2 linked regions of the Caenorhabditis elegans genome follow. The protein of the gene in region 2 interacts with the protein of the main gene of each other region in a pairwise test. Each region holds a gene or a part of one and is shown on either strand. Other genes may lie near its edges.

Region 1 (5,946 bases), 3.1 Mb from region 2:
TTAAAATTTTTGATGCAAATTTATGTTAATTTACTTAGCATTAATGCTAGCATTGAAAAAGTATGTCATTCGTCCTATAAGTCTCCGGCTAGCATACAAGGTTTATTTTCGAAAATACGGTCTAAAAACTACCAAAATAAAAAGGAAAGCCTTATTAATTTAATTGATTTAAAAATTCCAGGGTCCCTTTGGAAATCGCATTCAGTGCACGTACCGCAACACGTCAGATCCGGAATCTTCATTTTATTGCGAGCTTGGAGCAATTATCAAGTACGTTGGCGGATTATTTTTCGAATTTTCTACTTTCAGAGAGACTTGAAAAAAATGAATAGATTTTCAACAAAAATGTCAAATTTTGTTTAGGTTATTTAAATCAAGACTTGTTTAAAACAAATATAATTTCTGAAAATTCAAATCGGAAAACTTAGTTTTTGTCTAATTTTTTATAAAAAGTTACAAAAGCCTTGAAAAATGTTCCAATTGTTGGAAAATTTTCGAATGTTAAGAAATCAGCTCATTTTTTGCAGGTATGTATGCAGTAACGTGCCAGCAGGAATTCTATGTTTTCTCCCCAGCTATCGAGTTCTAGATCAATTAAAACAATGTATGATCCGTAATTCAACAATGCGACAAATCGAAATGAAAAAAGTTGTGCTCTACGAGCCGCGAAGATCCTCAGAATTAACATCAGTAATGGATCAATTCGATGCGGCGATCTTCGATCCGTCTAGATTCGGTGCAAACATCAACGGATCTCTTATGTTTGCCGTTTTTCGTGGAAAAGTTTCCGAGGGCATTGATTTTGCCGATGATCGTGCGCGTGTGGTGATTTCTGTCGGAATTCCGTATCCAAATGCGATGGATGATCAAGTGAATGCGAAAAAGTTGTATAATGATCAGAATTCCAAGGAAAAGGGGATTTTGACTGGCGATGAGTGGTATACCACGCAGGCCTATCGAGCATTGAATCAGGCTTTGGGAAGGTGAATATATATACAAAGCCGCGTGGAATAAAAACTACGTTTTTTTTATTTAAAAAATGTTATGCTATGCTACAAATGTTCAAAACACAGCAATTTTCTACTGTAACACATAATTCTGAAATTTGCGCAACATTTTTGACGCACAAAATATCTCGTAGCGAAGACTACAGTAATCCTTTAAATGACTACCGTAGTGCTTGTGTCGATTTACGGGCTCGATTTTCGAATTTCCTAATCGAATTTTGACAGCAGTATTTAATTTGTCTTTTTTTTTCTGTATTGTTTTGTCATTTTTGTGTTAAAAAAAAATATTTAAATGAAAAACGTCCAATATTGCCTTATAGGAAACTCATACAATCGTATTTTTACATTATTTTCCGTCTATTGCCGGGTTTCACCTGGAAAACCTGCAATAGACGGGAAATAATGTAAAAATACGTTTGTAAATAGGAGTTTCCTCATCAAAATGAAGGCAATATTACACGTTTTTTTCTATTAAAACAGTTGGTTAATGAATAAAATTTTTTTAAGTACAAAAATGACTAAACAATACGAACAACGAAGGAAAATTGAATATCACTGTCCAAATTCGAAAATAAAATCGAGCCCGTAAATCGGCATAAGCGCTACTTTTAAAGAAATACTGTAATTTTCGCTGCGAGATATTTTGCGAGTCAAATATGTTGTAAAATACGCATTCTCAGGATTTAGTGTTCCCGTAATATCAAATCTATAATATCACGTGAAATAAGGGAATCAGTAGAAAAACCATCTGGCCAAATTTCACTACAATCTAAAATTCATTAAATCTTCAGATGTCTCCGGCACAAAAACGACTGGGGAGCAATGCTAATGATCGATGAACGCCTAGAACGTCAAACTGGAAATCTTGTGGGCGGAGCCTCGTCTGCTCGTGTCTCAAAATGGATTCGTGCTCAACTGAAAAGCTATCCGAGTTTTAAAGAATTTAATGCGAATTTTCGCGAATTCATCCAGCGTCGACACGCTGTTGAGAAAGCAAAAAAAGAGAATTTTTGTGAATGAATTAAACTTTTTCTAACTTTTTTTTTTCGATTAAAACCCCCGCCCCTTATCTTTTTTACGTGTAAAATTTATGATTTTTCCTCATTTTCTTAAACAATTTTTAGACGTCTTTTTTAAAAGTTAGAATCTCCCTAATGCATTGTTTTTACCCCTTTTTTCAAATCGATTTTCATAAAGCTTGGCCGAACTTTTTCTCTCTTCTCTCATTATCACTTATCAGTGTTTACCTTTACACCACTTGTACTTTGAACTGTGAAATGCTGACAACATTATAGCGTTCTCAGTAGCCTACGAGAATTTTTCTAAAACTTGCCTGGAACCAGTTTGAACGCAAAATTTTTCCCTTTCGAGTGTTCAAAATTAATTTTCAAATTTTCATTTTGTTCGAAAAAGGTTTTGGCGTATGACTCTTTCCGAATATCTTTGTGAAATTAAAAAAAAACTTCTCGGATTTAATATTTCAGCTTGAAATCTCGCACCCAAAACTTAACGCGCCAGAGGCAGTCTCATTGGGGCGCACCGTGCTGTGTCGATTTACGGGATTTTTCACCATCTGTCATGTTTTTTCAAAAACTTTTTTTTTGGTTATTATTTGGAAAATTGTTTTTTCCGTGTCAATTGAACATTTTATTATATCCAAATCACAACTCGATGAAAATCCGAATTTTCGAAAAAAAAAACGATAAATTTAAGGCTTTTTTAGTTTAAAAAATTTAAAGATATTCGGAATTAGGGGGTTGGAATAATTCAGTGAATGCGTCTTTGAGTATGAGTTTTTTGAAAAATTACCTATGTACTTGGAAAAAGGCCATCGAAATTAATAATATATTTTTGTTTCAATATTTATAATTTATTTAAAATTGTCTAATTTTTGCAGCCTCTGAAGAAAAAAAATGTTCAAACGAGTATTCAATCTCCGTTTTATTTCGAATTTCTCTCGCCGCCCGACATCTTCTCCAAAACTTCCGAAATTAATTGCAATCACTGGTGGAACCTCGCTTGGAATCGCATTTTTTGGAAAAACTGAAGAGAACAAGAATTTGGACTCAGGAAATGGACAATTAATTGATGGAAAACCGAAAAATTTCGATTTAATTGTTCGAAATTCGGATGAACTTTATGATAATTATCTAATCGATAATTGTTATAATATTTTGAAAAAGTGAATTTTCAATTAACTTTTAGAAATGTCCATTTTAACTTTTCTTTCCAATTTTTAAGATTTGAAAATTCCAATTGCTCCGAGCTTCTATGGCGTCTGGCACGTGTGGTTTGTGAGAAAGGAAAACTCTCAAAAGATCAAAATCAACGAAAAGAGCTCATTTTGGAAGCCTATGGAATTGTGAAAAAAGCTCTTGACAATGAGCCAAAGAATGGATGCTTTGGAGCACATAAATGGTACGATTTGGAGTTAAAACGCTATTTATTCCGGGTAGAACAACACAATTTTGCGAGAAAAAAAAACTATGACTGAGGGTGGAAATCGAAAACTGAGCACCTGCCTTTTTTGGCGGCTGAGTTTTAGCATTTTCTATGCCACATGGCTATCTTTAGGTATGCCATTCTACTGGATTACGTTGGAGAGATCGAGGGAAACAAATCGAGAATCGAAAAATCATTCCAAGTGCGGAAACATTTAGAGAAGGCGTTATCGATTTTCGAGAACGATCCAACAACGTGGCATATTTTGGGTAAGGGATTCCGGATTGAACAGAGAAAAAAAAAGAAAAATCATGTTAGAATTTATTCACGTGGAGTCAGACGGTCCCTTTTCGCTTTGATCTACGAAACATGCGGGAGGTGAGACGTAGACATCTCAACTGATTTCGCATGGTTAACAGTGTGCTTACGTCACAAATTTTCTGGGAAAAAATTCCCGCATTTTTTGTAGATCAAACCGCAATGAGACTTTCTGACACCCCGTGTTTATTCCGAATTAAAGCTCTACAGCTCACCGTTCAATCAACGGGGGCGGGCGGTGCTTAACCATTATTTTTTTTAGATATTTCTGCATTTCGCTTCGAGAATTAAAAAGAAAACCTCAAATTTCAGGAGTCTGGCACTTTTCCTTCGCCAATATGGGTTACGCGACTCGAATGGTGGCCAAAGCTATTTTCGCAACTCCACCAGCATCCACATATCAGGAGGCTCTACACTATTTCCTAAAGGCTGAACAGATTTCGGTAAAAAAATATCAGAATTCAAACACTTTTAGTGAATCTCTCATAGTCAATCAAAAACATACAAAAATGAAAAGTTGTCGACCAAATTTTTTTACACTTTGAACATTTTCCTCCACTTGGGAAGTAAATAGTGCCACGAAAAATTCAGATCATTATAGTTAAATTCAAATTTTCAGCCCGGATTCTACAGTACGAATACCTACTACATTGGCGAAGTGTACGAACAACTAGGACAAAAAGCCGAAGCACTTGATGCATTCAAACAATCATTCAAAATGCCAGTTGTGACTTCTGATGACGCGGTTATTCATAAGAAAGCATACGAGAAACTGAAGAAATATGGAGTCAAGGATACTGAAGTTGTTTAGATTGTGAAAAATATGTATTTGTAAGATGATTGTTGTAATTTTTAACAGAATAAAAATATTTATTTGAATTTAATAATTGTCTAATGTCAGCTAAATAATATTGTCGGAAATGAGGCACCACGGTTTCAAGATCTGGTGAAATTCCGGATCTACGTTTTCCGGAAATACGATTTCCGGATCTACGTTTTCCGAATCTAGCACCGTGCCAACCCACAAAACGCTTTTTTATTCACTCGACGCACGTTGTTTTTTGAAAATTTCTTCTAGAAGAAACGCTTAACAACACGCGACGCTTAACAACGGAGCATCGTTGTCACGTTTTTCTCCGAGAAAAATAGCGTTTTAAGAGTTGGCCAGATCCGGAAAACGTAGATCCGGAAATGGTAGATCCGGAAAACGGAGATCCGGAATTTTACCAGATCTTGATACCGTGGTGCGAGGCACCACGTTTTCAAGATCTGTTCAAAAACAAGATCTACGAAAACAAGATCCACCAAAACAAGATCTACGTTTTCAGGATCTGGCACCGTGCCAACTGCGGTTTTCTCGAAGAAAACGAAACAACGATGCTCCGATGTTACGTTCGCGTGTTGTTTAGCGTTCAAACGAATATTTTTTGAAATTTTCTTCTAGAATTTACGCAACACGCGTACGCACGCGTAGAGAAAACCGCAGTTGGCACGGTGCCAGATCCTGAAAACGTAGATCTTGTTTTGGTAGATCTTGAAAAGGTAGATTTTGTTTTGGTGGATCTTGTTTTCGTAGATCTTGTTTTTGAACAAATCTTGAAAACGTGGTGCCTCCGTGGTGCCTCTCGGAAATTCAATTGTATTGCTTTAAAATTCAAATTCTGCTCCTTCCCTCCATTTTATGATCTGGTGGCCTAGAATTCCACCCAACTCGTCCTCTGGCCGAGCGCGCGAAATCTTGCATTTTAAACTCGATTTCCCATGAAATTAACTTAAATTTGCCATTTTATCTAGTTTTTTCTTTAGTTATTTGATTTTCAGTATTTTCAGACAAGTTCGGTCATCGCCAGCAAGCTCAATGAGCTCCAAGGATGACATTCTTGCACAGGCGGTCGAAAAGTTTGTTTCAAGAATGGAGAAAGTATAAAATCTTCTTTTTTTAGTGATTCAAACTACAAAGAGCGGCTTGCCCTGATCAGATCAAATGATGAGATTGATGCGAAGCTTGGTTTCTCTAGATACACAGGACTACAGGAGAAAAAAGGATTTCTGATAAACATCCAACCTTCGGAGCTTGTCGACGAGCAAACCAAAGTTATTATTTCGGTCGTTGACTATTTCTTCATCAGTGATATGGACGAACGCTTCAAAATCAGTTACCCATTTCGACCGTATTTCT
Region 2 (5,634 bases):
GTTCTGGATGATATGAAACCATTTGAAACGTCAGTCTTCAATGCTTACTTAATTTTTAAAAATAGTTAATACCCAAATTTTCAGATTTCCTATTCGTAATGTGTCTCGAAACTTGAGATCTATCATCGACAATCGCAATTCTGGCATCAAAAAAATCTCGATGAGCATGGGCTACGATCGATTGGAGTTGTACCATGATGACGATGACGAAGATTATCGATCGTATACGTGTCGGAAGAATAAAAAAATTCGCAATAAGGAATATATGAAGAAACCATTGGACGACGTGGCGATTCTATTGAAAAATCCGAATCTTAAGCTGGAAGAGTTCAAAGTGGAGGTCAATGATGAATTCACTGAAAGATTTGAAGTTGCTAACTGCTATGAGAATTTCAAGGAGACTTTCAAAGCTTCGGAGGCGGAAATTAGTGCTAAAAAATTCACGATTGACATGCTGGACCTGCAAGATATTACCCAAGTCGTTTCCCATTTTAAACCGGGAGATCTCGAAGAAATTGGCATTGATGAGCTCTCCAATAAGAAGGACGTGGAACAGTATTTATGATGATTATGTTGATGAAACAATGGATATGTACTTGGCTCTTTTTGAGCTGGAGCAGTGGAAGAAGATTAAGAAACTTCGAGTCTGGGATCACCGTTTTACTTTCCCAATTGAAAATCTCTTCCATTTGTCGGGTTTTGAGGTTAAAATGGAAGAATTCACGGTTGATGACGCCATCAAGATTAGAGATATACTTTAGAAAATTGATTATTTTCAATAAATCTGATTTTTTTTTCCAGATTCACATGAAATCCGATCACTTTCAATCCGCAATCATCAGATGCTCTACAATTAAGGCTTCTCAACTCGCGATGCTTTTCAATCATGAGCAATCAGACGAAGAACATGCTCCGTTCGTCTATGAAACCGAGACGTCACGCTTCAAAATTAGGCTCACCTTTGGCTATTTGGAAATTAAAAAAGAACAGTGATCTCGTGTTGTTTCCATTTTTTGAAATTCTGTTAAACATTGTTACTTGTTGATGAATTTGTTTTTTTTTTTCAGACTTTCTAAATTTAAAAATTAGTCGAGATTCATCAAAAATACAAGTTTTAAAGCAATATTCACAAAATAAAATAATCAGAAGCAATTTAGAAGTCGATTTGCATGACGACCGGAGCATGGTCGCTTCCCATCACCGAGCTCATGATATCACTGCGTTTGACCTGAAAAAAGAACATTAAAATTGAATTTTAATTTGGATTTTATCAAAATTCCAGTGGAAAAATTGAATTTCCACTTGGATTACGTCGAAATTTCAGTAAAATTCTAAATTTTTAAGTGGATTTCATGGAAATCTTCTGAAAAATTTCAATTCCCCGGTGGATTTTGTCTAAATTTTTTTGGAAAATCAAATTTTTATGGCAAATTCCATCAAAATTTCGGTATCCACCGGGATTTTACGGGAAAAAATCCCAGACATATTGCATTTTTTGCCCATTTTTTCAATTTTCCACAGCTTCCAGACGAGACCTTATTCATAATTCGATTGCTGACAACATAATAATCCAATCTCCATCCAACATCTTTCTGCCGAGAATTCGCCAGATAACTCCAAAATGAGTACTTCTTCTCGTCGGGATGCATGGCTCTGAAGGTGTCGGTGAATCCCAACTCGAGCATCTCACTGAACCATCCACGTTCTTGATCTGTGAATCCCGCGGTTTTATTTCGATTTGATTCTGGATTCTGAAAGGATCAGGGAGTTAATTTATAATTTTTAAAACAAATTTAATACAATATATTTACTTTCAGATCAATTTCATTATGTGCAACATTCAAATCACCCCCGTAGATCACTGGCTTCTTCTCGTCCATCTCCTTCATCTTCTCGGTCAGCAGCTTCTCCCAGCGTCCTCGTTTCTCCAAATTCACCAGCTTCGCGCCCGAATTTGGAACGTAAGCTCCGATAAAGTAAAACTTGGAGAACTCGGCGATGATCAGACGTCCGGCAGTGTCGAATTCTGGGTCACCGATTCCTTTGTGAACCTTCATCGGAGCACATTTGCTGAGCAGCCCGACTCCTGCGTAGCCACCGTTCTTCTCTGTGGAGACGACGAGGGTTTTGGTGTAGTTCTGGAAAAAAATTAGCTTTGAAAATCGCTTTTTCAGCCATTTTCTCGCATTTTTCTGCTAAAATTTCATTCAAAATATTTTTAAAAAGCACATAATATCCCTATTTAAATGGAAATCTGGTAGAATTTTGACTTTTAAATGTTATTTTTATGCAAATTTCTTTTGAATTGCGATTTTCTTTGTAGATTTCAGGAAAAATAGTGAATTTCCGCTTGGATTTAATGGAAATTTCTACGTTTTTTCGTTTAAAATGTGTTAATAAACATATTTTTGATGAAACCCGGCCGTAAAATATGCGAAAAATCTCTTTTCTTCCAGGAATTCCTTACCTTAAACGTCTCCTCCATCTCCGGGGGCCACTCCTTACACTTGGTCTCTCCTAGAAAAACGAGGTCAGGCTCCTCGGCGAGCACTTCCTTAAAATCACTTTTCTTCACACAAGCTCTGAGCCCTGCCACGTTCCAGCACACAAACTTCCAGCTTTTCTGATTATTGTCCTCTTCTGCCGGCTTCACCTTCTTTGTGAAGATCGAGGCGAGCTTTGGTGCTGGTGCTTCTTCTGCTTTTCGCTTCGACATTTTCAGCAACAGGTTAGTAGTCGAGTAGGCTCTTGAACGGAGCAGCTGGGGAAGAAGAAAGTTGAATCAGGTCGGCGGATGGAAGGATGACAAATAGAGAAACTTCCCCGAATGTTGAACAGATTAGTTAGAGAATAGTTGAAATTGAATTAAATAATTAAATCGATAGTTTCATTGGATTGTTATTAATAATGAGATCAGTGAAGAGCAAAAAAGTAACAAAAACCCGATATGAAGATCAACTTATTTGTTGGCGAGGTTGACGCGGAGTGGTCTTCCATTGAACTCGGCTCCATTCATCTGCTCGACGGCTCTCTGTGCGGATCCTTCCTCGGCGAACTCGATGAAGGCGAATCCACGTGGACGTCCGGTTTCGCGATCACAGACGATTCTGAAAGAGATATTGCGTTAGAAATCATGAAGCTCGGGCTGGCTGGGAGAGTTACCTGACGTTGTTGATTTGTCCGATGCTGCTGAAGAAGTTTCCAAGCTCCTCCTCGGTGGTCTGGAATGGAGCGTTTCCAACTAAAAAAAAGGAAAATTTTAATTGATTTAAATATTTCGCAACCAAATTTGAATCTAAACACTTAAAATTGCCTTTTCAAATGAAAATATTAGGGAAAACTTCGCGAATTCGATTTTTCCGAAAAATCCCAAAATTTCAGGACAATATCGAGTTTTATTGGCTATTTTAACCAGTTTCCGATTGTTTAATACTTAAAATAAATTATTAAAAAACTAACCGTAAACAGAGAAGATTCCAGACATGACGATTTTAGGCCGTAGCAGAAAATTTATGACGGTTTAATTTTTCCGCTCACCCTGCCTTGGAGAAAACGTGCGGCAGTTGCGTAAAAACCGTGCCAGGGTTGCGTTTTGGCCCCGCCCCTCGAATAGCATCGATTTCGACAGATTTTTTCCATTTCAAGCTGAAAATATGAGGAATTAGTCCAAAATAAGACCGCGAAGAGTGTTGAAACTTGAATTTTCAGTTGTAAGCTCACATTGGGCTGCGCATAGCCCAGGATTCAAAACTTGCTCGAACCGAAGCCGTTCCTTCAAGCTTCTAGCCTCAACGCTTGCCATCAGATTGACCCCAAATGAAGATTCGAAATAAAAAAATAGAGCATATATATTTATGATAACGATTTCATGGGTTTATTATTATTGAGATCATTAAAGATCAAACAAGTAACAAAGTACCGATATGAAAATTAGTTGTTTCTGTTTTGAGCCAAGTTGACGCGTAGAGCTCTTCCGTTGAAATCGACTCCGTTGAATTGGTCGACGGCTCTCTGGGCAGCGGCCTCCTCGGTGAACTCGACGAAGGCGAATCCACGTGGACGTCCGGTCTCGCGGTCGCAAACGATTCTGAAAATAGAGATTCATATTGAGAGTTAACGGGTCGTCGTTCAGGAGGTTTCGGGAAGAGGAGATTTCGGGGAGAGAAGCTTACCTGACGTTGCTGACGTTTCCAGCCTGGCTGAAGTAGTTGCCAAGGTCGTCCTCGGTAGTTTGGAATGGAGCGTTTCCGACTGAAAAATGCATTAAAATTATTAAAAACTCAAATTATCTCAGCCTAATCAAATACAATAAATAGAAAAACGCCTGGAGAAAAATAAAAATTTTAGGCCAGACTTTAAATTCGGCTTTTCTCGATTAAAATCTGCTTTTAAAGCTGAATATTCCAGTTTTCTACTTGAATAATTTACAATTAACAAAACTAACCGTAAACAGAGAATCCAGACATGACGATTTTAGGCCGGAGCGTAAATATGTGTGATTCGAATCGTTTTCGCTTGCCTCCTCCGACTCGTGGGAAACCGTGCGGCACTTGCGGTAAAAGTGTGCCAGCCTTGCGTTCGCGCTCCGCCCCCTTTAGTCATTTCAGCGTTAGCAAACGCTGCGTCTTTTATTCCTCATTCTCTGTCATTTTTCATAGCAATTGTTTCATTTTCTCACGTAATTTGTCGTTTTTTCGCTGAATTACAAGATTTTCATCGATTTTTGACCCTTTTACACTGTAATTTTGCCAAAAAAACGATTATTTTCTCTATGTTTCCGTATGCGCCGCCTATATCGCTGAAAATTATCGTATTTCTTAATTTTTCGCTTTCAGAATGTTCAATCTTCAAAAACGAATCAACGGCAACAACGAGGACGGTCGGTATCTTGAAACCCGCATCGCCGTCCGTGACAAGCTCCTAGCTCAGGGTATGTGGCTGCTTTATAAAAAATTTTGATTTTACAACATTTTCAGAACTCCAACAGCTGGAGACTGCTCTTCGCGATCAGAAGCAAAAGCTGTGGCATCTCGAGGTCCCATCAACATCGTGTCTTCATGAGTTGGAACTCACCGTGACACCTCAAGAAGGAATCTATCGTGGAGGCAAATTCCGATTCAAGATCACCGTCCCGCCAGAGTACAACAACGTGCCGCCCGTTGTTAAGTGCCTGACAAAGGTTTGGCATCCAAATATCAACGAGGACGGATCGATTTGTCTATCGATTTTGCGTCAAAACTCGTTGGATCAATACGGATGGCGTCCAACGCGTAACCTCACCGACGTCGTCCACGGACTCGTCTCACTGTTCAACGATCTTATGGACTTCAACGACGCGCTGAACATTCAAGCCGCCCAGATGTGGAGTCAGAATCGCGAATCGTTCAATCATCGTGTTCGGGAATACATTTCTAGATATTGCTAAGGACCAACGGATCGGATTACAAATGGCCTGTGAATTGACCCCCCCTATGAAATTGATTTTGATTCTAACTTTTCCCCCACCTCTCAGACTTTTTCTAACTGTACTTTTTGAAAGAAATAAAATTTATTCTTGAGAAATTTGAGAACTTAAGAAGAGAAGAGAAAATCGAATAAATTAAACAAGTTAAAGAGATTTGGTGGATAAAATAG

What was found. The genes of interacting proteins can lie anywhere in the genome.
Region 1: the proteins of exo-3 (region 2) and F33H2.6 interact in a two-hybrid assay, tested with the Caenorhabditis elegans proteins (2 studies listed by BioGRID).

What each region holds. Positions count from the first base shown.
Region 1 is NC_003279.8:15,013,554-15,019,499, reverse strand, and holds F33H2.6 (Regulator of microtubule dynamics protein 1), read left to right. Parts: upstream 1-2,904; 5' UTR 2,905-2,920; coding exon 2,921-3,189; intron 3,190-3,248; coding exon 3,249-3,425; intron 3,426-3,581; coding exon 3,582-3,718; intron 3,719-4,079; coding exon 4,080-4,210; intron 4,211-4,386; coding exon 4,387-4,578; 3' UTR 4,579-4,646; downstream 4,647-5,946. Other genes in the region: dog-1 (Helicase ATP-binding domain-containing protein), read left to right, coding at 182-270, 528-983, 1,799-2,027; pole-1 (DNA polymerase epsilon catalytic subunit), read left to right, coding at 5,626-5,666, 5,711-5,946.
Region 2 is NC_003279.8:11,906,491-11,912,124, forward strand, and holds exo-3 (exodeoxyribonuclease III), read right to left. Parts: upstream 2,762-5,634; 5' UTR 2,717-2,761; coding exon 2,468-2,716; intron 2,139-2,467; coding exon 1,812-2,138; intron 1,752-1,811; coding exon 1,536-1,751; intron 1,229-1,535; coding exon 1,154-1,228; 3' UTR 1,081-1,153; downstream 1-1,080. Other genes in the region: rbm-3.1 (RRM domain-containing protein), read right to left, coding at 2,960-3,107, 3,163-3,241, 3,460-3,484; rbm-3.2 (RRM domain-containing protein), read right to left, coding at 3,931-4,087, 4,173-4,251, 4,445-4,466; NEDD8-conjugating enzyme ubc-12, read left to right, coding at 4,837-4,930, 4,977-5,425.